4 linked regions of the Sus scrofa genome follow. The protein of the gene in region 3 purifies or fractionates together with the protein of the main gene of each other region. This does not show direct contact. Links are inferred from orthologs where the notes say so. Each region holds a gene or a part of one and is shown on either strand. Other genes may lie near its edges.

What was found.
Region 1: the proteins of TRIM33 (region 3) and PNMA2 purify together in Homo sapiens (affinity purification with mass spectrometry; 3 studies listed by BioGRID and IntAct, with this or other methods). This does not show direct contact. The link is inferred for Sus scrofa from reciprocal best matches to the Homo sapiens genes TRIM33 and PNMA2.
Region 2: the proteins of TRIM33 (region 3) and SKIL purify together in Homo sapiens (affinity purification with western blotting; 4 studies listed by BioGRID and IntAct, with this or other methods). This does not show direct contact. The link is inferred for Sus scrofa from reciprocal best matches to the Homo sapiens genes TRIM33 and SKIL.
Region 4: the proteins of TRIM33 (region 3) and SMAD2 purify together in Homo sapiens (affinity purification with western blotting; 7 studies listed by BioGRID and IntAct, with this or other methods). This does not show direct contact. The link is inferred for Sus scrofa from reciprocal best matches to the Homo sapiens genes TRIM33 and SMAD2.

What each region holds. Positions count from the first base shown.
Region 1 is NC_010456.5:10,420,544-10,426,506, reverse strand, and holds the end of PNMA2 (paraneoplastic antigen Ma2), read left to right. Parts: intron 1-227; exon of another isoform or gene 228-429; intron 430-1,049; 5' UTR 1,050-1,180; exon of another isoform or gene 1,181-1,411; 5' UTR 1,412-1,931; coding exon 1,932-3,026; 3' UTR 3,027-4,182; downstream 4,183-5,963.
Region 2 is NC_010455.5:109,052,988-109,058,308, reverse strand, and holds part of SKIL (ski-like protein), read right to left. Parts: intron 4,903-5,321; coding exon 4,678-4,902; intron 3,565-4,677; coding exon 3,406-3,564; 3' UTR 1-3,405. UniProt on the Homo sapiens protein: May have regulatory role in cell division or differentiation in response to extracellular signals.
Region 3 is NC_010446.5:106,161,677-106,167,574, reverse strand, and holds part of TRIM33 (E3 ubiquitin-protein ligase TRIM33), read right to left. Parts: coding exon 5,725-5,898; intron 4,850-5,724; coding exon 4,685-4,849; intron 1,180-4,684; coding exon 979-1,179; intron 1-978. UniProt on the Homo sapiens protein: Acts as an E3 ubiquitin-protein ligase. Promotes SMAD4 ubiquitination, nuclear exclusion and degradation via the ubiquitin proteasome pathway. According to PubMed:16751102, does not promote a decrease in the level of endogenous SMAD4.
Region 4 is NC_010443.5:97,480,241-97,486,774, forward strand, and holds the start of SMAD2 (mothers against decapentaplegic homolog 2), read right to left. Parts: upstream 3,984-6,534; 5' UTR 3,983-3,983; coding exon 3,747-3,982; intron 1-3,746. UniProt on the Homo sapiens protein: Receptor-regulated SMAD (R-SMAD) that is an intracellular signal transducer and transcriptional modulator activated by TGF-beta (transforming growth factor) and activin type 1 receptor kinases.

The sequences.
Region 1 (5,963 bases), on a different chromosome or scaffold from region 3:
CTGTGGCTTTATTGTGTGTCAGGAATGTTTCACTCGCCTTTTATTTTTATTTTTTATTTTTTTTAACTTGAAGGTAGGTTGCATTGCAGGTAGAGACTGGTTTTGGAAGAAGAAGACACCCAAAGATAGCCTAACTTCAGCATGACCATTATTATGTAGACCTTAGAGCTGTTTCTTCCTGGGTACCCAGTGTCTTTTTCCACCTTATGTTTCCTCTATTGCAACAGGGAGGAAGGTCACTCCCACGTCTTAGAAGAGGAACAGGAGGCATGATGAAGTCCCTGGGTTCAGATCCCTGGGGCTGCAGGGCAAGGACGTGATCCAGCATTTTGCCCTTCTGACCCTCTGGCACATGCCCCACTTTCAGCACCTTCCAGAAGGACTCAGGAAATGTGCCTGCAGCAAGAACAGCTGCCACTGTAGCTGCAGGTTGGCATCTGTGGCATATGGACCCCATTTGGAGTGATGGAGATTTTTAGGGAAAAAATAGTTGTGGCACCTTAACACACACTCCACGATGCATGACAGCAACGGGATGATAGACAGTCTTCCCTTTTTACATTATTCAGTCTCCACCGGCTCACCACAGATGTGCCTCCTCGATTTTTCTTTGTCCTCAAATCACCCATTCAAGTTCAGATGCTATGAAGAAAGCATCATGTTACTAATGAAACATTTATAGCAAGAAAGGCCCCTACTTGTGCATTTTCAAAACCTGACCAGGCATAACCATAGGGAATTCATAATTCCAAGTTTAACTTATTTGGTTCTACAAGTTTTTTCTAATTGTTAAACCTATATTAAATTTTACCTATAATGTTATATTAAAGTGTATTATATGTTATATTTTATACCTGTGTTCAGTTGGTTTTAAATGTTTGAGTGATTTCTGATTGGATTTTTTAATCAAAGAAATGAAGCAACTCACTATTGTTTAGTAGATTTAATTAAATTGTGAAGGATTGCCATGTTTTGGAAAAAGTGTATTAACAGTCTTCACTTTGGATATCATTAGGTCATAAAATTACACTACAATTATATTTATACAGGACAGCGTGGCTTGGCTGGCGCTGAGAAACACCCAGACATGCCGTTGTGTGGCATGGAGTGACATCTTGTGCTAGAAGCTGAATACATAAGCTCCTTGGCTGTCATGGGATGATTTGAAACACATAAACAGGTATCTGGCCACATCTCCTGATGTCATTCTGCATGTGGGAAAGATCTTCCTGTCCACAACTAGGGCTCCATTAATCTGCATGCCTGGTGAGCATAGGGTGGGAAAGCCAGCTTGCAGGAAAGTCCCCAAGAGAACAACAACAAAAAAATCACTATAAGCAAAGAAGAGGTCTGACTCAAATACAGTGTGGGGCAGAATCCCTGGTTTACCCTCACTTCTGTCCCTAACCAGGTACAGGTGCTTCCTGGGAAGGAGAAAGCTGTGTGGTAAAACTGGCCATTGTTTCCCCAAGAGCCCAAGCCACGCTGCTGGGAGACTTCCCTCCAGGAGTTCTGGGTGCCTGAGTGGAGGCGTCTCCCCACCTGCTAGAGTGGTGAGGTGCCAGAGCCCCAGAGCACTCTGAAAGCAGCTGCTTCTCACTTTTCCAGTGGGGCAGTCCCACCACGTGGCTTCAGGAGGGAACCGGCTCTGGAGACACAGGCGGGGGCTGGGGTGCTGTCCTGAGATACTAACTGCTCACCTTGGGTCAGGTGTGGAGACCTAACAGAAAGAGCCGAGTTCTGGCCACTGGGCAGTAAGGGTTATTGTTCCAGAAGCCTCTGATGCTGCTGTTGGAATGACCCAGCACCCATTCACTGGTGGGTTATCAGTTGAGAAGCACATCCAGGATCTTCTCAATCCTAAGGCAGTCTCTATTGGCCCCACAAACTGATCCGGTACCCACACTTAGAGCGAGTCAATATCTGGGACCATGGCGCGGGCACTGTTGGAGGACTGGTGTAGAATCATGAGTGCAGATGATCAGAAATCACTGATGGTTATGGGGATACCGGTGGACTGTGATGAGGCTGAGATTCAGGAGGTCCTCCAGGAGACTTTAAAGTCGCTGGGCAGGTACAGACTGCTCGGCAAAATATTCCGGAAGCAGGAGAACGCCAACGCTGTGCTGTTAGAGTTTCTGGAGGATACCGATGTCTCCATGATCCCCAATGAGATTCAAGGAAAAGGGGGTATTTGGAAAGTGATCTTTAAGACCCCTAACCAGGACACTGAATTTCTTGAGAGACTGAACCTCTTTCTAGAAAAAGAGGGCCAGACGGTCTCAGGAATGTTCCGAGCGTTGGGGCATGAGGGATTGTCTCCAGCGGCAGTGCCCTGTGTCTCACCGGAATTATTGGCCCATTTGTTGGGACAGGCAATAGCGCACGCCCCCCAGCCTCTGCTCCCGATGAGGTACCGGAAACTGAGAGTGTTTTCCGGGAGCGCGGTGCCAGCCCCAGAGGAAGAGCCCTTTGAAATCTGGTTGGAACAGGCCACCGAGATAGTCAAAGAGTGGCCGGTTGCAGAGGCAGAAAAGAAAAGGTGGTTGATGGAAAGCCTCCGTGGCCCTGCCCTGGACCTCATGCACATCGTACAGGCAGACAACCCGTCCATAAGTGTGGAGGAGTGTCTGGAGGCTTTTAAGCAAGTGTTTGGAAGCCTGGAGAGCCGCAGGACCTCCCAGGTGAAATACCTGAAGACCTATCAGGAGGAAGGAGAGAAAGTCTCGGCCTACGTGTTACGGTTAGAAACTCTGCTGCGGAGAGCGGTGGAGAAGCGGGCCATCCCGAGGAATATCGCCGATCAGGTCCGCTTGGAGCAAGTCATGGCCGGGGCGAGCCTCAGCGAAATCCTCTGGTGTAGGCTGAGGGAGCTGAAAGATCAGGGGCCGCCTCCCAGCTTCCTGGAGTTGATGAAGGTGATCCGCGAGGAAGAAGAGGAAGAGGCCGCCTTCGAAAACGAGAATATTGAAGAGCCGGATGAAGGGGATGGCTATGGCCACTGGGATCTTGAGGCGGATGAGTAAAGCCCATCCCAGAGGGGGACCCACAGCCGGCAGGGTAGGGCCTCTGCCTTACCAGGCTAAGACCTTTTCAGATATTTTTTCTCCTTTAATGTATGCATTTGAAATGACAGCATTTGAGCCAGATCTTGATTCTTCCTTCCTTCCTTCCTTGATTCTTCTTTCTAAGAAAACATATCTGAGTGTTTCTTGGCCCCTACATAGATTTTAACAGACTGGCATTTACCAACAGGCTCTTCTTTGTTTTCAGGTTGACTTATTTTGTGCAGATGTTGGAAGAAAAGTTCTCTTGCAATATCTGAGCACATATCCAAACTTACTTTAACTTTCCATAGATTAAGGAAGCCATAGCACCTCATGGGTATTTAAATCAGACCTGTGCTTGTTCTATGATGTGAAGTGTGTTTCAGGTATAAACGAGCATCATTCAGTTAAATGCTAGGCAAGGTTCCAACACAACTGATATATAGCATCATAGCAGCTTTGTATATACAATAAACAAGTGGCTTAACTTTTCTAAACATCTGTTTCTGCATCAGAAAGAAATGGGAAGATAATAGAATAGGGTTATTGGTAGGATCAAATGGCATCATGCCTTTTAAGCACTTAGCATGAAGTCTGGAACATAGAAAGCCCTCAATGCATTGAGACTCTTTTTATTTATTTTCACAGTGCTTGTTGTCTGGTAAGTGCATGCTCTCTTTCTTGTTCTAACAGTCCTGCACTAACAAGTAAATATATAATCTGTCAGTCAATTTGTGACAACTTTGCATTAGAAACCATTTTAGCACTTGTGGTAAGTTCGAACGTTTGTTGTCTATTACGTTTCTGATAAAATTGCCAGCAATTGTTGACTATTACTAGTGATGATAACAAATAAATTCTTTCTGATCATGGATAATTTTAACTGAAGAACATCCTGGGGATGTTAGAAAAGCATTTTTTTAAGAAAGAAGATACCCTATGTGATCATTTATCTTTCTAAGTTATATTTTTCAATACTGTTCAATCAAGATGCTAAAACTCATCCAATACACCCTGATTTTATGCATTTTTTTTGTATTCATGAACATGGCCTCATTGTTCTCATGAATTGACACTATACAAAGTAAAATGTTATAAATGTGAAGTTGTAAAATAAATACCTGCTGATAATATTCTGAGTTTTTTCTGCTTCATGTATTGTGGTTCTGTACAAACCATCGCCTAAATAGGGCATTTCATTACTAAAAAAATTTTTTGAGAGGTAAGATTAGAAAATCAAGCTAAAGCCCAAAGGTCTTAAACTCTTTGAGAGAGAAAAAAACCTGAGAGCAAAATGCTGGAATCAGGAGTACTTGGGCTTTGTCTCCAAGGATGAGTGAGAGCTCAGCCCATCCTTCATTGATTTCTCCTTTAAAATATAAGAAATGACAGATGGAGGCCAGTTTCCTCAGAGACCTCCCACTCCTTTGCCTAGACAAGTAACTGTACAGAGGCATTCACCAGCCTCTATTCTGCCAAGAGTCAAATGACCTAAAGGTGAAATACTACATTTCTTGGTTGGAGTCATTTTTCACTATATGGATGTATAGAGGGGAAAAAACTTCTCCTGCCTTTGGCCCTCTTGAAATAGCTTCTCTTCCTCTTTCCTAGGGTGCTATGGGGGAACATTCCTCAAGAGCTGTCCATAGTAGACTGACCCACTCCAAGGGTCTGGATCACTTGAGCAAAACCTGCTGGGAGATTGGTCTCACTTTGTACTAAATGTGTTTCCAGTCCTGACCCTTGGAGACTGAGGCTTCCAGGATCACATAGTCCACTGCTGAAGTTACCTCTGCACCAGGGTCCACCTGCCTCTTCAGGTCTTAAGTATCCCCTACCTCTCCACCTATACCAGCTAGTCCTGGCAAGCCTCTCATGCTGTTGTCCATCCTAAACACAAGACTGTCTGCATTTACTCTCATGTCCTCACTACACTGTGCTTCCTCCCCAATCCTCATCCCTAAGGCCCTCCTATGTGCCTACTGGCTGGTCTGAGAGGTCCTAAACAAACTAGCCTATGTCATCGGAGTCCTCGCAGAATTCTCTCTCACCACGTTCCTTGAACTCTGGTCCTCCTGGTCGTCTCTTGCCATCAAATTCTTTGAGTGGAAGCTGCTCAGTCTCCCCGACCTCAGGAGTGATTGGAGAGTGGTAATGTCACTTCTTTCATTCGCCATCGTCACTTCCCCCCTTGCAAACACATTTGCTCCCTCCTGGCACGTGCTCACCCACTCTGCTCCACCACCCGCTATGGACCAGTCCTAACAAACCTGGACAGAGCACTAGCAATGAGCCAGTGTGGCAGGGAAAGGGGGGGCATTTACAACTGAATCTGGGAGTTCCCATCATGGCACAGCGGAAACGAATCCTACTAGGAACCATGAGGTTGTGGATTTGATCCTTGGCCTTGCCCAGTAGGTTAAGGATCCAGCGTTGCCGTGAGCTGTGGTATAGGTCACAGATGAGGCTTGGATCTGGCATTACTGTGGCTGTGGCGTAGGCTGGCAGCTACGGCTCCAATTTGACCCCTAGCCTGGGAACCTCCATGTGCTTTGGGTGAGGCCCTGAAAAGACTAATAATAATAATAATACCAATAGTAATAATAAACTGAATCTGCCTGGATATTATCTAAGGAACAAAAAAAACAAGAAAAAGATCATGACGACAAGCCATGCCCAAAGGGAGACCTACAGACAAGACCAGGGGAGCCAGGAGGATTGGAAGGTAGAGTTTTGAAAGAGTGGAGCCTGAGATGAAACACACCAGTAAGAGGATGTGAGACAGGTGTTGTCAAAGTGATGCAGGCTTTGGTTTTTGTTGACCAGCAGGGTAAACTCTAGAGAGTCTAAAGGCCCAGGATGAGGGCAGACATCTCTCCTATCCCCATCTGACTGAGTGGGCCAGGAACTCCTTGA
Region 2 (5,321 bases), on a different chromosome or scaffold from region 3:
AATATAGGATACCCATACGAATTTCCTCCAATAATGGAAATGCTTAAGTGTCTTACACTAGAAAAAAAAAAAAAATTAAGCTGTTTAAATTATTCAATCTCACAAATGTATAATACAGCAGTAATGTGTCCCTTATTGCTGACAGCTTCAGTAAAAACTAGTAACAAGTAGTTCCAAGCACAGAAATAGATGTACAGTATGAGCACAACTTTTCATTATATTAATTTTTAATGTCCTGTCGTGCAGATTAAATGCATAAGAGCAGATAAAAATGAGGATTCTTCCCTAAGCAATCAAAACATAAGACATTGAGAAAAAAATTTTAGAAACTGACCAAAAACCCTCAGCACCAGATTTACTATGACTTTTAGGGAAATACCTTGAGCATGTTCCATATTACTCAAATTTCCTTATCATTTTACTTTCCTTCAAATAGAAGCCATAGGTGTGCAAATATATTGGTTGTTGTGTCATGACTTCTAAAATATATGGATAACCGGCAAGTATCACTGTACTCAATCTATTACATCTACTTATTAGAAATTGGTTGTTAATTCAGTATGTACAAATTATTTTATTTCTCAACTGGTAATATATTAAATGTTATAAAATTAGTTTAAGAAGCATAAAACATCTGAACTTTCCTGGACACAGAAATTTAAGCATAAGAATACGCTTTAAAAAACTAAAGCACAAGCCAAACTTACGCTGTTGGTCAAATCCTTTCATAGTGTTACAAGTTGCATTTGTGAAATCAGGGTTGGTTAGAGTTTCCTCATTGACAGCAGGTTGTACGTTTACTATATGTGATTTAGTACCTTTTTCTCAAAACATTTAGAGTATAGAAACTATAATCACCCAAATTAAACTCCACTCATCACTCAGTAAACTATTATTTCATCTTTTCTTCCTTTTAAAGGTGCTCTAGCACTTCTGATAGGCCGTTCCTTTAACGCAGCTTTTTAAAGTGAATATTTTTATATGTTTCTGAAAAAGAATAATGAAGTCTGAGGGAAAAATCTGTTTGCTTGATGAATTGTGGTACACAAAAACTAACAATGAAACAAACTTTAAGCTAGCAACCAACACACAAAATGAGCATGCAAAGGATAGAGAATAATTATATGGATAAGGTATTTTAAGCAGAGGACACTTGTAAAGAATTTCAAAGTCTCTCTATTTTCAAGCTATGTGGTACAGTTTAACTTAAAATTACTTTTAACTAGAATAGGCATAATATTTACAATTGACTTAAAAAACTATTTTCAAAGAAGTTAGACAGAAACCTATGGCACACCAATGTATCTTCAGGAAAATGAAGACTATATAATATCATGTGGCAAGTTTCCCTTATGTGAAGGACTAGAAAAAATAGTTCTTTACTCAATTAGAGTTTATGATGACTTAAAGGTGATTAAGCATTGCTCAAATTTTTTAAATATTTCAAAGATTAAGCAATTTATTTTAGAATCTTTGAGTTGAAACTTAAGTAAGCTTATCATTTAAACTAAGTAACATAGTAGATTTTGAGTAAATTTGAAAAATAAATGAAACTATAAGGGCTTGAGTTTTATCTTCCAAAAAGCTTAGCTATGACACAACTAATTCACAACTAAAATGAAACTGTATCATAAAATGTCTTTGTGATTTTTCTTTCTCCAGATCGAGATAAATAAAAGGTATTAGGAGGGTATATCGTTTTTAATTTTTGTTTCTGTATGTCATTTTAACATGTCTTCCTCCTTGAGGAGATTCCAAGAATCAACAAATTAAATTTCAGGGTAAATACAGTAAAATTTAAATGGAAAATAGAAAATACACATTTAGACCATACTCTAGTAAAGAAACTATACTTTGGGAAGTACAAAAATTCTTTTAGGATATGTAAGTACCATTAAGCAAAATATGAAAATAACTGGTTAAATGATAACCTACTTATTTTTGAAGTTCTATACTAAGTATCTATCATCTATGATGGGAATAGTAAATAACCTTAATCCTAACTAATTTATTTAAAAATAAATTTAGCTCTCAAGTAATTTTATATAGTACCTTACACAAGAACAAAACATAAAATTCATGGGATAATAATGTCAATTAATGGTAGCTTCAGGAAACTTTCTTTAAAAAATGCCATTCTAAGAATTTTACCTAGAATCTTTTAAGCCAAGAATTAACTAATATGAAATTTGCCCTTAAAGAATGACAGGCTTTTCTGTGCAAATTAAAAAAAAGAAAAGTGCAGAAGTAGTTGCCCCTCCCCCGCCAAACTATGGAATTCCTGTCTTCTAAAAATTATCTAAAAACCTTTTAGTAGCAGATAACTAAACTTCCCTATATTAACCTGTCATATACTACCAGCTGACTGTAAATTTCTGATTTTGATATTAAATAGTAACTGAAAATGGTCCATTCGTGCAAATTTTGGTTAAGACAACATTTAAACATACAAAAGTCCAAAATAACCTTCAAAGTGTTTAATATTTTACAATGAAAGGAAAACAAATCTGTCATATAAATTTCAGTAAGACCCACAGCTACATATAAAAACTGTACAGGAAGATTATGGATTGTATAGAAACTGATGTATATCAATGGTATCAGTTTTTATCAAGTACATTAATATTTTCATACCACTATTAACAACATAAACAAAGTCCAAAAGTATTACATTTTATTCCCTCTTCTGAATTTGCTGAATAAAAGTTTTTTCTAAATATAACCACATTTAAACAGAAAGTCTAATTTTAACTGCTTCTTGTATTTAGCAGCAGTATGTAAGAAAGCATGTTATCCTTTCCCACAGGGTGTGCTATAAACTCATCAGTGAAATTCCCCTACTGACAAGATGTCTCTTAAGAGACACTCAATAGCAGAGAACTAGTGGAAATTCATTCCACAATATGAACAAAATAAAAGCAAATTTTGATTATAATAATGAGTATACTATAACAACTTAGAAAGGAGATTATGTTAATGAAAAAATGGAGATTCTACTCCTTGAGTAGCTCTATATATGAAATATGAAGCCACCTTTGTATCTAAAATTGAGTCTGAAATATGGATAACAAAGTTGACCACAATTATTGTACATCACACGATGCAGCTTTTAAAAAGTATGCAACTGCTAAATTTGCATTAGAAATATAGTCAGATAATCTGACAGTTGAAACCGTAGAGTATTGTTACTAAGCTGGTTGAAAAAAAGTATAAAGAAACACATTTTCAATCATTTGGAAAATGTAAAAATTTATGTACTAATATATAATCTCTTTACTTTCTCTGCTCTACAAATGGATAGTTATTTTCATGCAGATAAACTGTTCAGAATTCAATTAGCAAAGCAAACAAATAAACAAAAATAAACCCTGTTGGGAACACACAGATGAATCTCTTTAAAGATTTCTATTCTTTAGCAGTCTTTGATGATTTCAAAATTTGCAGCTTTAGCTCTTTTATCATCATCTCTAACTTCTGTCTTGCCTCCCGTTCCTGTCTAAGTTCATCTTGGAGCTCTTGCCTGTCAGCCTCAGCGTGGTCCAACCTCTGTCTCAGTTCTGCCAGCTGTGTGATTTAAAAGACTGTGTCAGTTCTCATTCGGTTGTTTTTTTTTTTTTTCCATTTATTCCTCATATCATGACAAAACCTACTTTCAAATTACTTTTTACAAAATGAACTATTTCATGCATGCTACAAACACATGAATATCTAATATTTTAATCTGACTTTGACATTACCTTAAAATGAGGGAAAAACAGAGTCAAGAGAACTGAACACCTAGAGCACTTTCATTATGCCCTACACTTGAGTACACCTCTCATCGCAGCCTACTCAGTCTAAGAGTTGTTTGTTCATCTTCTCCAAGTTGACAGCTACTACTCATTTTTGTTCCAGTGCTTATGAACACGGCGGACAACAGTTCATGTTCGTAAATTCATTGATTTGAAAGCCCATATACTACATTAAAATAACATTACATTTGATATTCAGACAGCTAGGGATTAGCAATTTGGACAACTAAACTACAGAAACCCAATAAAGTTTTATTTAAAGTAATAAAGCAATCAAGGTCAAAAACTCATCTTGAAAGGAATTCCTGTTGTGGCGAAGTGGAAATGAATCTGACTAGTATCCATGAGGACAAGAGTTCTATCTCTGGCCTTGCTCAGTGGGTTAGGATCCAGCATTGTAGTGAGCTGTGGTATAGGTTACAGAAACAGCTCACATCCCACATTGCTGTGGCTGTGGCATAGGCCAGCAGCTGTAGCTCCCGCTGGACCCCTAGCCTGAGAAATTCCATATGCCATAGGTGTGACCCTAAAAAGCCAAAAAAAAAGAAAAAAGAGACCTCCCAGAGATCCCTGGCCCCTTCCACAGATAAAAACATAGTGAGAAGACTTCATCTATAAACCAGAAAATGGGTTCTTCCCAAACATGAAACCTCCTGGTGCCCTGATCCTAGACTTCCAGTCTCCAGAACTGTGAGAAATAAATTTGTGTTAAAAAAATAAAAAATCTTGGATGATATGGCATAAAGTTATATTTAACAGAATTATCTATTTTGAAATCTAGCCTAATGAAATGAGCTTGACAAAAAGTAATTTCTTTAATGGAAAAAGTAACAGCTTCAATTTCCACATTGAAAGGGCAACACTACACAAACTGAGTAATTCTTACCTGTGCTGCATATTCAGCCTCTTTATCTTTTTCTAAATTTGAGTCACAGGTACATTTTTGCTTCATTACCTGCTCTAATTTTTTCTCTAAATCTTTCTGTTCAACGTAAAATTCTTCCATTCTTTGAGCATGTTCATTCTGCAAAGATTCAAGCTCTTTCTGTAAATTCTGCTGTTCTTCAGTGAGTTCCTTCATAGCTTTTGAACTACTCAACATTTCAACTTCCTGTAATTTAAAGAATCACAATACAATTTTTACTTTATTTCATCATGTTAAAGTTTTCAATTCAGGAAAAAAGAGGACAGAAAATATATAAAATTCAGTTATATCAGATTTCCCGTTGTGGCGCAGTGGCTAACGAATCCGACTAGGAAACATGAGGTGGTGGGTTCGGTCCCTGCCCTTGCTCAGTGGGTTAAGGATCCGGCATTGCCGTGAACTGTGGTGTAGGTCGCAGACACGGCTTGGATCCCACGTTGCTGTGGCTCTGGTGTAGGCCAGCGGCTACAGCTCTGATGCGACCCCTAGCCTGGGAACCTCCATATGCCACGGGAGCGGCCCCAGAAATGGCAAAAGACAAAAAAAAAAAAAAAAAAAAAAAAAAAAAAATCAGTTATATCAATTCTATATAAAAGTGATTATCC
Region 3 (5,898 bases):
GAAAGTTCATTATATTTCTAAGCTTTCAACTTACACATATTTTGTTGATATATCCCCAAATTTTCCCTTTTATATATATAGTCCTGTGCTTCTAGTACGACTATCCACTTAGCCCAAAAAGATCTCTCATATTACCAGGTAAGCAATCAGATTAAGAAAATTCACAAGTTAGTGATTTCACAGTAATTCTGAAGTTAGAGAAACATCCTTTAAAACTAACTCTAAAAATCCACTAAACACATAAAAATATTAAACTGCAGCCATAAAGTAAGTTATGGGTCCTAGTGTCTTTATAGTAGAGTCCCTACTTCTTGCTCCTCTGACTCTGAATAACTCATACAATGCATGAGATGACTCAGTATAACCTTCAAATTTTGTATTTATATTTAAAAATAAAATGCCTTGAATTCGAATGAATTTATAAAATTTCAGAAGGCATCGAATGCTATTTTTCTTCAGAAAAATGCTACAGGTGAAAGCAACAGGACAAACAGCTCAAAGGCCCTTCACGTTCCATCATCTATTCCGCATTATCACTTCCTCTCTCAGTAAACCCCTCAACACGCCTGCTACTAGACCTTCCAATCGCTCCTTTTCTCAGTCCAACCTGTCTGCACCAGAGGCTGACTACCCCTTTTGGACTTAACAGAAGACTGACAAAAATTTGACTGTATCTTGGCCCTGGGTGCCCCCCCCCCCACCGAGTTAAATTTATAACAGAAGTGCTTCATTCAACACGAGGTTTGGAAGATTGGCAAAGCTGACACCCTGTAACTTTAAAATATTGAGAAGTGCTAGTTTTAGCACACATAACTTTTAAAAATTCAAATATTCACACTCTCTTTGGAAATTCCCCCCCCCCAAAAAAGTTGCTCCTGAATTAAAAATAAACAAAAAAACCCCTCACACCCAACCAGAAATAAATACTCTAGCTCCCTATTAACAGGTTTTAAACTCTCATTTGACTCAAATACAAACCTGTATGGGTGGAATATCTGGAAGCGATGGAAGGTTTTCTGGATTGGTCACTGAGGGAATTAGTTCTATTGCTGTAACAGACGGGCTGGTGGGACCTCGATTTGCATTTGCCATGGTAGCTGTAGTAGGGCTGGTTGGATTGACTGGGTTGTTGTGCACCGACACAACAGGAAAGGGTCCAGCATGCCCCGGGTTTGAGTGCTGTTAGAAAAGAAGATGTGATCGTTACTTGATCTGCCAGGATATCCTAACATGACCTTTACTTTGACAACAATCTTTAGCTTAGAAAGGATACAGAAGTTCAGTGTTTCTCTGTGGCTGAGCGATAAAGAAGTAGGCCTTCTCAAACTTACTCAGGAAAAAAAAGAAAGAAAATCAAACCTAGCTTTTTCATTTTTCTATTCATTTTTGTATAGTATTTAGAAAAAACAGGCTTGCCAATAATCGTACCTTGTCAGCCTGGCGATATGATTTTACTTCAGAACAAAGATATATATATAAATAGATGATTTATATATCACTAAAGTTTTCAAACATCAGCCCAGGAAAGCCACTATTCTGTCTATATTTCACCTTGACTTTTTTATCTTTTATAAAATGCAACAATTAATTGTGTATTATGTAACTAATATAGTAGAAAGAACAATGAATTACAAATGGAAACATGGCATCTATTTCTGACTCTAATGCCATGTTTCTTTAGGCCAAAACACTATCTCGGCAATTTAGAAATAGGGATAATGACGAATGAAAATGGATGCTGGTCTTTAAGGGAGTGTTTACAAGGATCATTTAATATATAGATGGAAATAGTTGGGAAATAAATTACTATACACATATAAACCATATGAAATATTTAAAAACTTAAAATTCTAACATCCAGTGATTTCTATAGGGGCCCCAAAGTCTCAGGACAATGTGCTGAGATTGTTGGTTGCTCAGATTCTGTAGCTTCTGCACTCTTCTGAAGGTGAACCTGCCCCGGGTGATAGCTGAAGGCTTTCCATGTACTAAGAGGTACAGGTATATGTGAACACTTTTAAGGAAATTAAAGTCCAGAGAGTCAACCTTCACAGGTACTTTTTTCTGAAAAAGAACCTGATGTACCTATACCTAAGAATGTGCCATGGTTTCTAAGTTGTTTTCTTCAACTACTTCTTTCACAACTGCCCTTCTCCAAAACCAAAATACAATACAGTACATCTTTTTTTTTTTTTTTTTTTTGTCTTTTGTCTTTTTTTGTTGTTGTTGTTGCTATTTCTTGGGCCGCTCCCGCGGCATATGGAGGTTCCCAGGCTAGGGGTTGAATCAGAGCTGTAGCCACCGGCCTACGCCAGAGCCACAGCAACGTGGGACCCGAGCCTCGTCTGCAACCTACACCACAGCTCACGGCAACGCCGGATCGTTAACCCACTGAGCAAGGGCAGGGACCGAACCCGCAACCTCATGGTTCCTAGTCGGATTCGTTAACCACTGCGCCACGACGGGAACTCCATACATCTTTAATCCATTCCTAATCTTATCGAGCATACTGTCCCAGGAAAAAAACAAAAACAAAAACCCTTCTGGAGAGACAGGCAAAGGTACAGAAGGAAATAGAAGTGCCAAGTTGTTGGCACAGTTACTGGCTCCAAAACCTGGGTAACAAATCTTTGAGTGGGTTCTGATTGTAGGTGATAAACAAAAATGAGGCAAGACCTGAAGTAGCTGTCAGATGATAAAGGTTTTTTAAATAGTTTTGAATTCCCCGACACAAATTTTTGTGAAAAAGTTTCCCACACATCACATGAAAACAGAAAAACTAGTAATAAAGACCAATGCTGGGAGTTCCCGTTGTGGTGGAGTGGAACATGGCTTGGATCCCCTATTACTGTGGCATAGGCCAGCAGCTGTAGCTCCAATTTGACCCCTGGCCTGGGAACTTCCATAGGCTGCGAGAGTGGCCCTAAAAGCAAAAAAAAAAAAAAAAAAAGATCGATGTTGAATTCTGCCTTTTACTCTAATAATACAAGGTAACAGACATACAAACACGCATAAATAAAGAGGAAGTAGAAAAGATTCCATCTATCTCATAAAGAAATACATACCTAAAGGAATTTATTTTTTGTTTCCTAATTTTCTTAAACCATGTAAACATATTTTTCTTCTTTAAACAACTGTGTAGGAATAACTATAATAAAAAATTTGGTCTAAAGAAAAAGTTTAAAGCTTAATAATAGCATTATCAACCAGAAATTTAAGAATTTTTAAATTGAAATAGAATCCTTCCAGCAGAAAATTGCAATAAACTGATTCATAAATCTATCAAATATATTTATTAAGATAAAATTCTGTAAAAGCAAAGAGAAATTCAAGGCCAAGGAGAAACGGGAATATAAAATTTTGATTTTCAAAAAAGAACTTACTACAGTATTTGGGACTCCAGCGGATCTATTTACAAGAAAAATGTAAAGGTTTTATTTTATAATGTTAATATTTACAATATGCTAGACAATATGTCCTTTGCAACTATTTACACTTAAACTTGTAATGGAAGTTTTAAATGTCAACATTCAAATATGAGGGAGTGTGTATTTTTCAAGACTTCCCAGAGGTAACTGGGCCAAAAGTTGAAAGACTAATGCTTAGGACAGTATTTGTCCAATTTTAGTACGTATATTGAGGATCTGAGTCAGTAAAAGTTAACATATTTCTAAGTATTCCCCTCCTGGAAATTATGATTCAACGAATATAGTTCAGAATCTGCTTCTGACAAGAAGTCATAGACACTCTAACGGTATTTAAACCATGCTTTGAGAAACATCACTCTAACAAAGTATAAAATGACCTTTATTTCCTTCATAACTAGAAAGCCTAAAGTAGCTTCATTTTTATAATCATACCTCCATAAAAATATCATCTACTATTTCAAGCAAAGATTAGAAAACATGGCTCTAAAACATACTTATTTTTAAGAATAGGCATATCCATCCTAAAAGAAAGAATACTGAGCAAAGAGGTGGAAAAAAAATTATAGACAGCATGGCTCTATTTTTTTCCAAGTCCTTTTCATATATTAGGTTCAAAATGTCACATTAAAAGAGCAAAGGAACAATTTCAAAGGAAACTAAAGGTTTTTTTGTTTTATTTCGTTTTGGTTTTTTTGCTTTTTAGGGCCACACCTATGGCATATGGAAGTTCCCAGGCTAGAGGTCAAATCAGAGCTGCTGCTGCCAGCCACAGCCACAGCAATGTAGGATCTGAGCCATGTCTGCAACCTACACTGCAACTCATGGCAACGCCGGATCCTTAACGCACTAAGCGAGGCCAGGGACTGAACCCGATTCCTCATGGATATCAGTTGGGTTTGTTACCACTGAGCCACAACAGAAACTCTAGGAAACTAAAGCTTTAATTTTGATTTTACCATTATCTCTTAAGACTGTGGGTACATAACAAGCTCCTTTGTTTTTCACTGTAAAATGAACTGGTTGGATTAGATCAGGGATTTTTCAATCTAAAGTATATAATGGGTTTAACGACATCAAAGAAACTTCAAATTTAATACAAATTTTACATGTATTTTTCTGGGTCAAGAAGATACATAGCATTAATCAAATTCTTAAAGTTATCAATGACCACCCCCCCCCACCGCCACTGATTCAGAAAACTGTTGTCTTTTAGTTTTAAAATTGTATGATTCTTACAAATGTAACTCTAGGCATACTTGTCTTTGGAGGTGTGGCTGCATCATGGAATACTGAGGGCCACTGTGCCTGGGTAACCCTGGTATTCGGGCAGCATTCTGAGCCAATCTCATCTGATGGGCCTGGAAAGCTCCACAGTTCATGTTGCCTCTTTGCATTGCTTGCACACTGATCAATCTTGGAGGCTACGAAAAGTAGAAATTGCATTTATGTAATAATATTCATAAATTTACTTTTCAATTATAAAATATTATGGTAAAAATAATTTAAGATAGAAGAGCATCAAGTAAAAAGTGAAAGACATTCTCATCTCTAACCCTAATCTCCTCCTCTCAGTATATGTGTGTTTTTTGTTTTTGGGTTTTTTTTTTTTTTTTTTGTCTTTTTGTCTTTTCTAGGACCACCCCCGTGGCATGTGGAGGTTCCCAGGCTAGGGGTCAAATCGGAGCTGTAGCTGCCGGCCTACGCCACAGCCACAGCAACATGGGATCCAAGATGTGTCTGTGACCTACACCACAGCTCACGGCAATGCCGGATTCTCAACCCACTAAGCGAGGCCAGGAATCAAACCCACAACCTCATGGCTCCTAGTCGGATTCGTTAACCACTGAGCCATAATGGGAACTCCTCAATGGTTGGGTGTGTTTTAAAGCCTATCAGCATTAACTTAACCCTGGATTAATAATTTGATTTGGATGGGAGAGGGGGTAGAAGACATGCAGGGATGGGAGTGATTTGAACAAATGAGTAGAGAAACCAGATCTTAAGCTGAAACAACACGGCTCTTTGGCCCAAAAACCACATGTGTAAAACAAAAAAGATCTGGTATGGAGGGATAAAAATGTTTATGCCTCCCTAGTACTGGTGAGTTATATTTTGTTTCCCACTGTAAGTATTTAATTCTTGTCCTTCCTCACACCTTCCCCCACATCCCTGCCATACCCAAAGCAAATATTTAAACTGACCTCTGAGCCCCGTCTTTGTTAGTAACTTTGAAATGTGTAACTTATCTGTATAGGACAGAGGGTAATTTATATCAATAATATGATATAATGCTTACCTGTTGTTGTAACATCTGAGGGGCTGCTTGTCTAGGGTGCTGCTGTGTTGTTGCTGTTGTTGTTGGTACAGGTGCAGGTGGTTGCTGCATCCTCATCTGTTGCAACTGCTGATGCTTCTGTGCATACACTTGTTGTTGCATGTGCTGAAGTCGAAGCTGTGCTAAGTTAATCTG
Region 4 (6,534 bases), on a different chromosome or scaffold from region 3:
ATTGCCGGATCCTTAACCCACTGAGCAATGCCAGGGATTGAACCCAAGTCCTCATGGATGCTAATCAGATTAATTTCTACTGAGCCATGACGGGAACTCCAGGGCTATGTTTCTATCCTCAATTTAGCCCCACTCTAACATTAGAAAATAGCAAGTGGAAAGAAGAAAATTCTGTTAAAAGTCAATGAAACAGCTATTTTAACAGAAAATATTTGCCATTTTAAAAATTAAGTAATTTACATTTTACGTTCATCAACTGAATTTTTTGGTGTTTTTAGGTTTGTAAAACCATAAGGTATTTTATTAACAACTTACTTGCAATTTTAAGTTAATAAGCTTATAGTAAATCCAGTTTGTATTATATCTTAAATAATTTTGCTTAAGCTGTAGTTTGTATTCCTCCACTAATGGACCCTTTCCCCAACCATCCCCCATGCTTAAGAGATGACTGAATGTTTAAGGACATTTAATAGTTAAGGAATGACTAATAATCTGATATAACTGTTCTACTATTAAAAGCAAACATATATATATGGCTCCAAACTACAGTGTAAGAAACTTAAATTTTTTTAGAGACAACAACCTAAATGAACAAATCTTTATTTCTTGCAATATAAAAAAGACCACCACATGAGACAAACAAGTTTCTAAGCTTCAAGGAACTTTGAAGAATGAAGAAGATAATGGTTGATAACCAATTCACTTTCATTACTCAGGTAAAAGTGCAGGAAAAAAAATCTTTAAAGAATGAAAAAGTGTAGGAAAATAAATTTTAAATGATGAAAAAGCATTAGAATATTTAAAAAAAAACCTCTAAAAAATAGACTGTAAAATGAATAATGGAAAAATAAGGAAAAGAATTTTGACTAAGGTGACTTCCACAGTTTAAATATCCACATCCACAAATATCCACGTCATGAGGTGGCTGCCTACTGCATCTTCTTAAAAGACAGGACTGCATGGTTATACCCTCAGCCCTGTTCCTTCAATGACCTCACTGCACTGGCAGCTGGAGTCTTAGATGAAGCTGTGCAAAAACACGGCTCCATGTCCCCCAGGAATCACATGACACCCTTTGAGGAGGGAGACCACATACTAACCAGTCTCCCTGCCTCTACTCTTGACAGGCTCACAACCATTTCCTCACTGCAGTCAGATGCTGTATGTAAACTAACCCAACTCAGGAGTCTTCTTTACCTAACACCGAGGACTCCACTCTCACCCAACCACGCTGGGGTTCAGGGTGAACCCCTAAGTGCAGGATGTGGGGGCTCCTCACACCCACACAGCCTCTCGCTCCTGCCATATGCCACCTCCAACTCCCAGGACACCCTTCACCAGTTCTGGCCAACTGCCACCCTCAATACCACAGAGCCTCTCTGGAGGGATTCAGCTTCTCCTGAAAAGTCCTCCTTGACATCCACTCAACCCAGGCATCAATCTTTCTCCAGCAGGAAACTTTCCACACAGCATGGAGTAGGGAAGGCTCCCCCTCTTTGGACATAGGTCCCTAAGCATACATCTTTCAGAACAACCCCTGGATGTTATGAAATTATCTTTCTTCTTTTTTAAAGTTTATCTTCCTTTCTAGAAAGTAAGCAACTCAAGAGCAAAGACTTTTATGTTTCTAAATGTTTACTGAACTGAAACATCAGACACTATACAATGAAAAATCAACAAATATGGCCTGACTTATTCCTAGCCAATTCATTAGCAAATCCTGTCAGTTCAGCTTCCAACCAGATTCATCCACTTCCCGAGTTACCACCACCTCGCCAGCCCAGCCTAGCCTCTGGCATCTCCATTCTGGATTACTTTAACAGTCGCCTCATTCCTCTGCGTCCACACCACTATACCACACCAGTCTATAACACACATGCCCACACACTCCACTATCCACACCCTCTTGTCTCCAGCAGCCAGAGTGATCTAAGATATAAAGATAAAAATTTCTTCTAAAATTTACTTAAATTTAAAAATCCACTTTAAAAATCTTCATTTGCTTCCTATTGTACTGGGACTAAAATCCAAACCGCCTCCTGATGCCCCATCTAATCTGACTCCTCCCAAGCCTTGTGCTCATTTGGTGTTACTGCATCTCTACTTCGATCCATTAAGTCTCCAATACGACAAGCTATGTCCCACCCTGGCGTCTGTATGCTTGCCCCTTCCTCTGCCTAGAAGACTTCCTTCAGCTACCTGCTACTTCTCCAAGTTTAGCTTAAGTGTCACAATCCAATCCAAAGCAGCTTTTTAATCCTTCAGTCACTGTCTTTTGTCCTCATTACCATCTCAAATTACATTAATTTGTCCACTTGTTTACAGTGTGTATCTGTCCCTCAGGAGGGCAGGAACTCCGCATTTCATCCATGCTGTGTCCCATATGCCTAAAACCAGTGCCTTTCACACGGAAGGCATCCATAAGCATTTCTAAAACAAAAGAATAAACCAAGAAAAGTGACCCTTACTTAAGAAATACCTGAAACAAGGAGTTCCCATTGTGGCTCAGTGGAAACGAATCTGACTAGCATCCATGAGGATATAGTTTTGATCCCTGACCTCGCTCAGTGGGTTAAGGATCCAGCATTGCTGTGAGCTGTGGTGTAGGTTGCAGATGCGGCTCAGATCCGGCGTTGCTGTGGCTGTGACACAGGCCAGTGGCTACAGCTTCAATTCGATCCCTAGCCTGGGAACCTCTATATGCCATGGGTGTGGCCCTAAAAAGCAAAAAAATAAAAATAAAAGTTAAAAAAAAAAAAGAAATACATGAAACAAGGTAAAAGAAATGGAAAGTAATCGGTAATTTTGTTTTATTACCAAACAAAACAAGGCAGGAAACATTCTAGTTAGTATCTGCAAGAAAGAAAGGCTGGTGTCACTGGGAGCTATTATCACAAGCATCCAGAGTTATTTCCCAAAACTCATTAGAAACATGTCAAGTAGAATGGTTTCATGTGCCATATGCTAGCCTATGTGTATGGCACTGCAAACAATCATTTTAGAAAATGCTATAAACTCACACTCCCCATAACCCTGCAATGTGCACAACTACAGTAGTGTACACTACAACACTTAAAAACTACTCGTTATGCTATTTGAAAAACCAGAATTTCTGACAGTGGTAATGATCTGTAAATGATTAAATTTATACTAATAAAACTTCAACCTCTTAGGTAACAGGTCCTTCTCTTATACGAGGCAGGTCTTCAAGACAGGATCTGACTATGGCACCTAAGAAGCTGCCTCATATACTGTTCTTTCTTAGAAATAATGCTGCAACTCAAACAAAAGCCATAACTCGTCACAATGTTAGCAGCCTCTGTTAACTCCTTACTGAAGTTTTGACCAGAGGAGCAGGAAACTGTCAGTCACTACTGCACTAGTGATACAAAAATCTTTGAATCTTTATTCAAATGTCACTCAATCACAAAAATTAGGATAACATACAATGAAGCATTTAGGCAATGAAGGCAAATGAAGACAGTGAAGATAAACCTTAGTAAAATCTAAGTATTTTATTTTGCTTGATTAAACTTTCTCGCTGTTCAAGAAAAGGATTTATAAAATAAACAAGTCTTATCGTGTCCAACAAAATTAATATGACAGGTTAGAAATAGATTTCATATTTTAATAATCACTATTGACAGGTGAATTGCATGTAACAAAATTTCAGTAACTTTCCTGCAGATTCCTTTAAGCAATTTTCAACAGGATGGCCATCAAGTTTCTGACCTAACCACACTTACCTTGGTATGGTAACACATTTAGTATTACAATTTTGAGTGGTGATGGCTTTCTCAAGCTCATCTAATCGTCCTGTTTTCTTTAGCTTCTTCACCAAACTTTTAACTGCTTTCTCACACCACTTCTCTTCCTGTCCATTCTGCTCTCCTCCACCTGCTCCTCCAGATCCACCAGCTGACTTCTTCCATCCCAGCAGTCTCTTCACAACTGGCGGAGTGAATGGCAAGATGGACGACATGTTCTTACCAAAGGCAGCGGTCCACACTAAGAAAATATCCTCCTTAATCTAACCTAGAAAAGATATGGAAAGGACAGTTGAGAGGCTAACTTTACCATCAACTACTGCTTTCAACACAGGAGCAAAAGCAAATTACAAAATGAGATAAGAAATTCAAATTATTACTTTCAGAACAGACTTTCAGAAGTTATCTTTTTCACCCATGACAAGTCTTCACGAATTTAAATGAACTGTGGAAACAAATCCTTCTAAAAACAAGACAATGATAAGTGGGCCAAGAGAACAATTTTGCAAGACAGAAAATTTTTTTATCTTTATCAACACTGGACCATTAATCACTACCCATACTACTATATTTTTACCTTTTAATAGTAGCAATAAAATATTTTCACTAAAACAAAGTTTTCCTTATGTTTTTAGAATTTCAGTCTATTCTCAAGACACTTAACAAAAATACATTTTTTTAATTTACAGGGCCAATCTCCCCGAAGTTTTAAACTTTCATAACTATCATAAAGTAAAGTCTAAGGTCATAACAAGGGGAAAGGAGAAAGGCATCAAGTGTGAAGTAAACAACCAGAAGTAAAGGTAACGAGAGACTGTGAGGAAGAGATGTGGTTCACTTTGAGAAGACTTTTAATTAAGCTTCATTTTAAAAATATTTTTTTCTCTATCTAAGTAACAACCCACATAGTGGATAAAGTCAAATAAAGCTCTTCTCCCCACACCAAGGTACAACTCTTTAAAATCTTTGAACCTTTACTCTTGCTATTTATACCTAAGCAATGGTCCCCCTTGAAGTATCAAGTTAAATATACCTATTGAAAATGAAGATTTACACCACAATCACTTGCTTTTCCTCCAGCCCTGAAAATAATTATCTTCCAACTGTAGTTTTATACCTGAAGAGATTAGTAGTAAACTACTATATAATCCTGTTTCCTTTTTTGTACATCTCTTTCTTTTTCTCCAGAGCTAATTATGTCAGTTTTTCATCTGCCTAGTTTTCTAAGCACCTACCATAAATTCTTCCTACTCTCTCTACCAAGTCCCTCAATTAAAATTTAATGTCAACAGCTTTAATCTCAAAGTAAGAGATAAGAACATTTACCACTGAGGGCAGAACTAGAGAGTTTAGATTTGAGAAGAATGGAAAAGATTTAGAAATGCAGCTCTGAGAAATACTGTAGAAAATCAAACTGAGTGAGGTCAGATAAATTTTATCAGGTATTTGCCAGACTATATATCAGAAAGTATTCCATGAAGGAGTTCCACTTCTAAACAGGATGTAGCAAATCACAAGAGACCATCACTTTCACCCTAACAAACAAAACAAGACAGATAAACTATAAAATCATGGTTTTTCTGAACCCGTCTAAAAGTTAAAGATGCAAAGTAATAAGCTAAATGTAACTAAATTCCAGAAAGTGTTGAATTTTGATAGGAGAGGGGCCCACAGATGGTCTCTTTCCTAGTGGAGCAACCAAGAAGGAATGATCCCACCATGATGAGGGTAAGGAGAAATCAGCCTAAACTTTTAAGACATTTAATAGCAACATGTAGGCTGACATGATATATTAGAATTCAAAGGGTTCCCCAGAGCAAGGCTATGACCTCAACTACTCAACCCCACAGGCCCTCACCAAGTGCTGGCCAAAATATTCCAAAGGTTGATGGACAGGGCTGAAAAGATGGGAGATACCCTAAGAAGCTTGGGGTCTTCCTCAAACGCAAGGAATCTGTCCTCTGACCAGGGAAGGGAGTGAGGGGAGGTAAAAGAAATCAATCCAAGAGACTATAGACATGCAGCTGCCAAGGGCTGAGGTGGTGCAGAAGAGCTGAGACAAAACCTTAGAGCAGACACTCTGGAAATTGACTACCAAGGCTGGGGTAGGAAAGGACTGCTGAGAGAAACTCTGGAAGGTATCTATCTCATAGGCACAAAATCCCGGGGCAGGACTAGAGAGCAAAAGGAACTCCAGAGTAGAGTTCCCTGGTGGCTCAGTGGGTTAAGGACCCAGTGTTGTCACTGCTGTGGCTTGGGTTCATCTCAAACCCAGGACCTTTTTTATGCCGTGGGTGTGGCAAAAAAGAAAGAAAAGAGCAGGAGGATGGGGGAGGAGGAGGCTCCAGAATGCCAAGGGACCAGCAGCTGGGCTGTAAAGCTGAGAAACCACCCACAGTTCAAAGAGCTGATGGCTCAGAGATAAAGCATAAGGAAGTAACTGAAATCACACTAAAACAACAAAGCTTGAAGAAGGAATCTTAATCCCACTCTCAAAACACTTGAATTAATCCAACTGAAGTTGCAAAGAAGCCTAGAACCAGCTTAACTACACACACATCTTACTGACACAGCCCCAGGAGAAATGATGGTCCATTTTCTGGTTTTACAAAAATGTTCAGCATCCAGTCAAAAATTACAAGACAGAGAGAGTAGCAAACCACAGTCAAAGATGAAGTACTAATATAATCACATCAAAGAGGGTCTATATTTTGGGATTATCAGACAGACTTTTTTCTTTTTTTTTGGTCTAAGGGCCTCACCCATG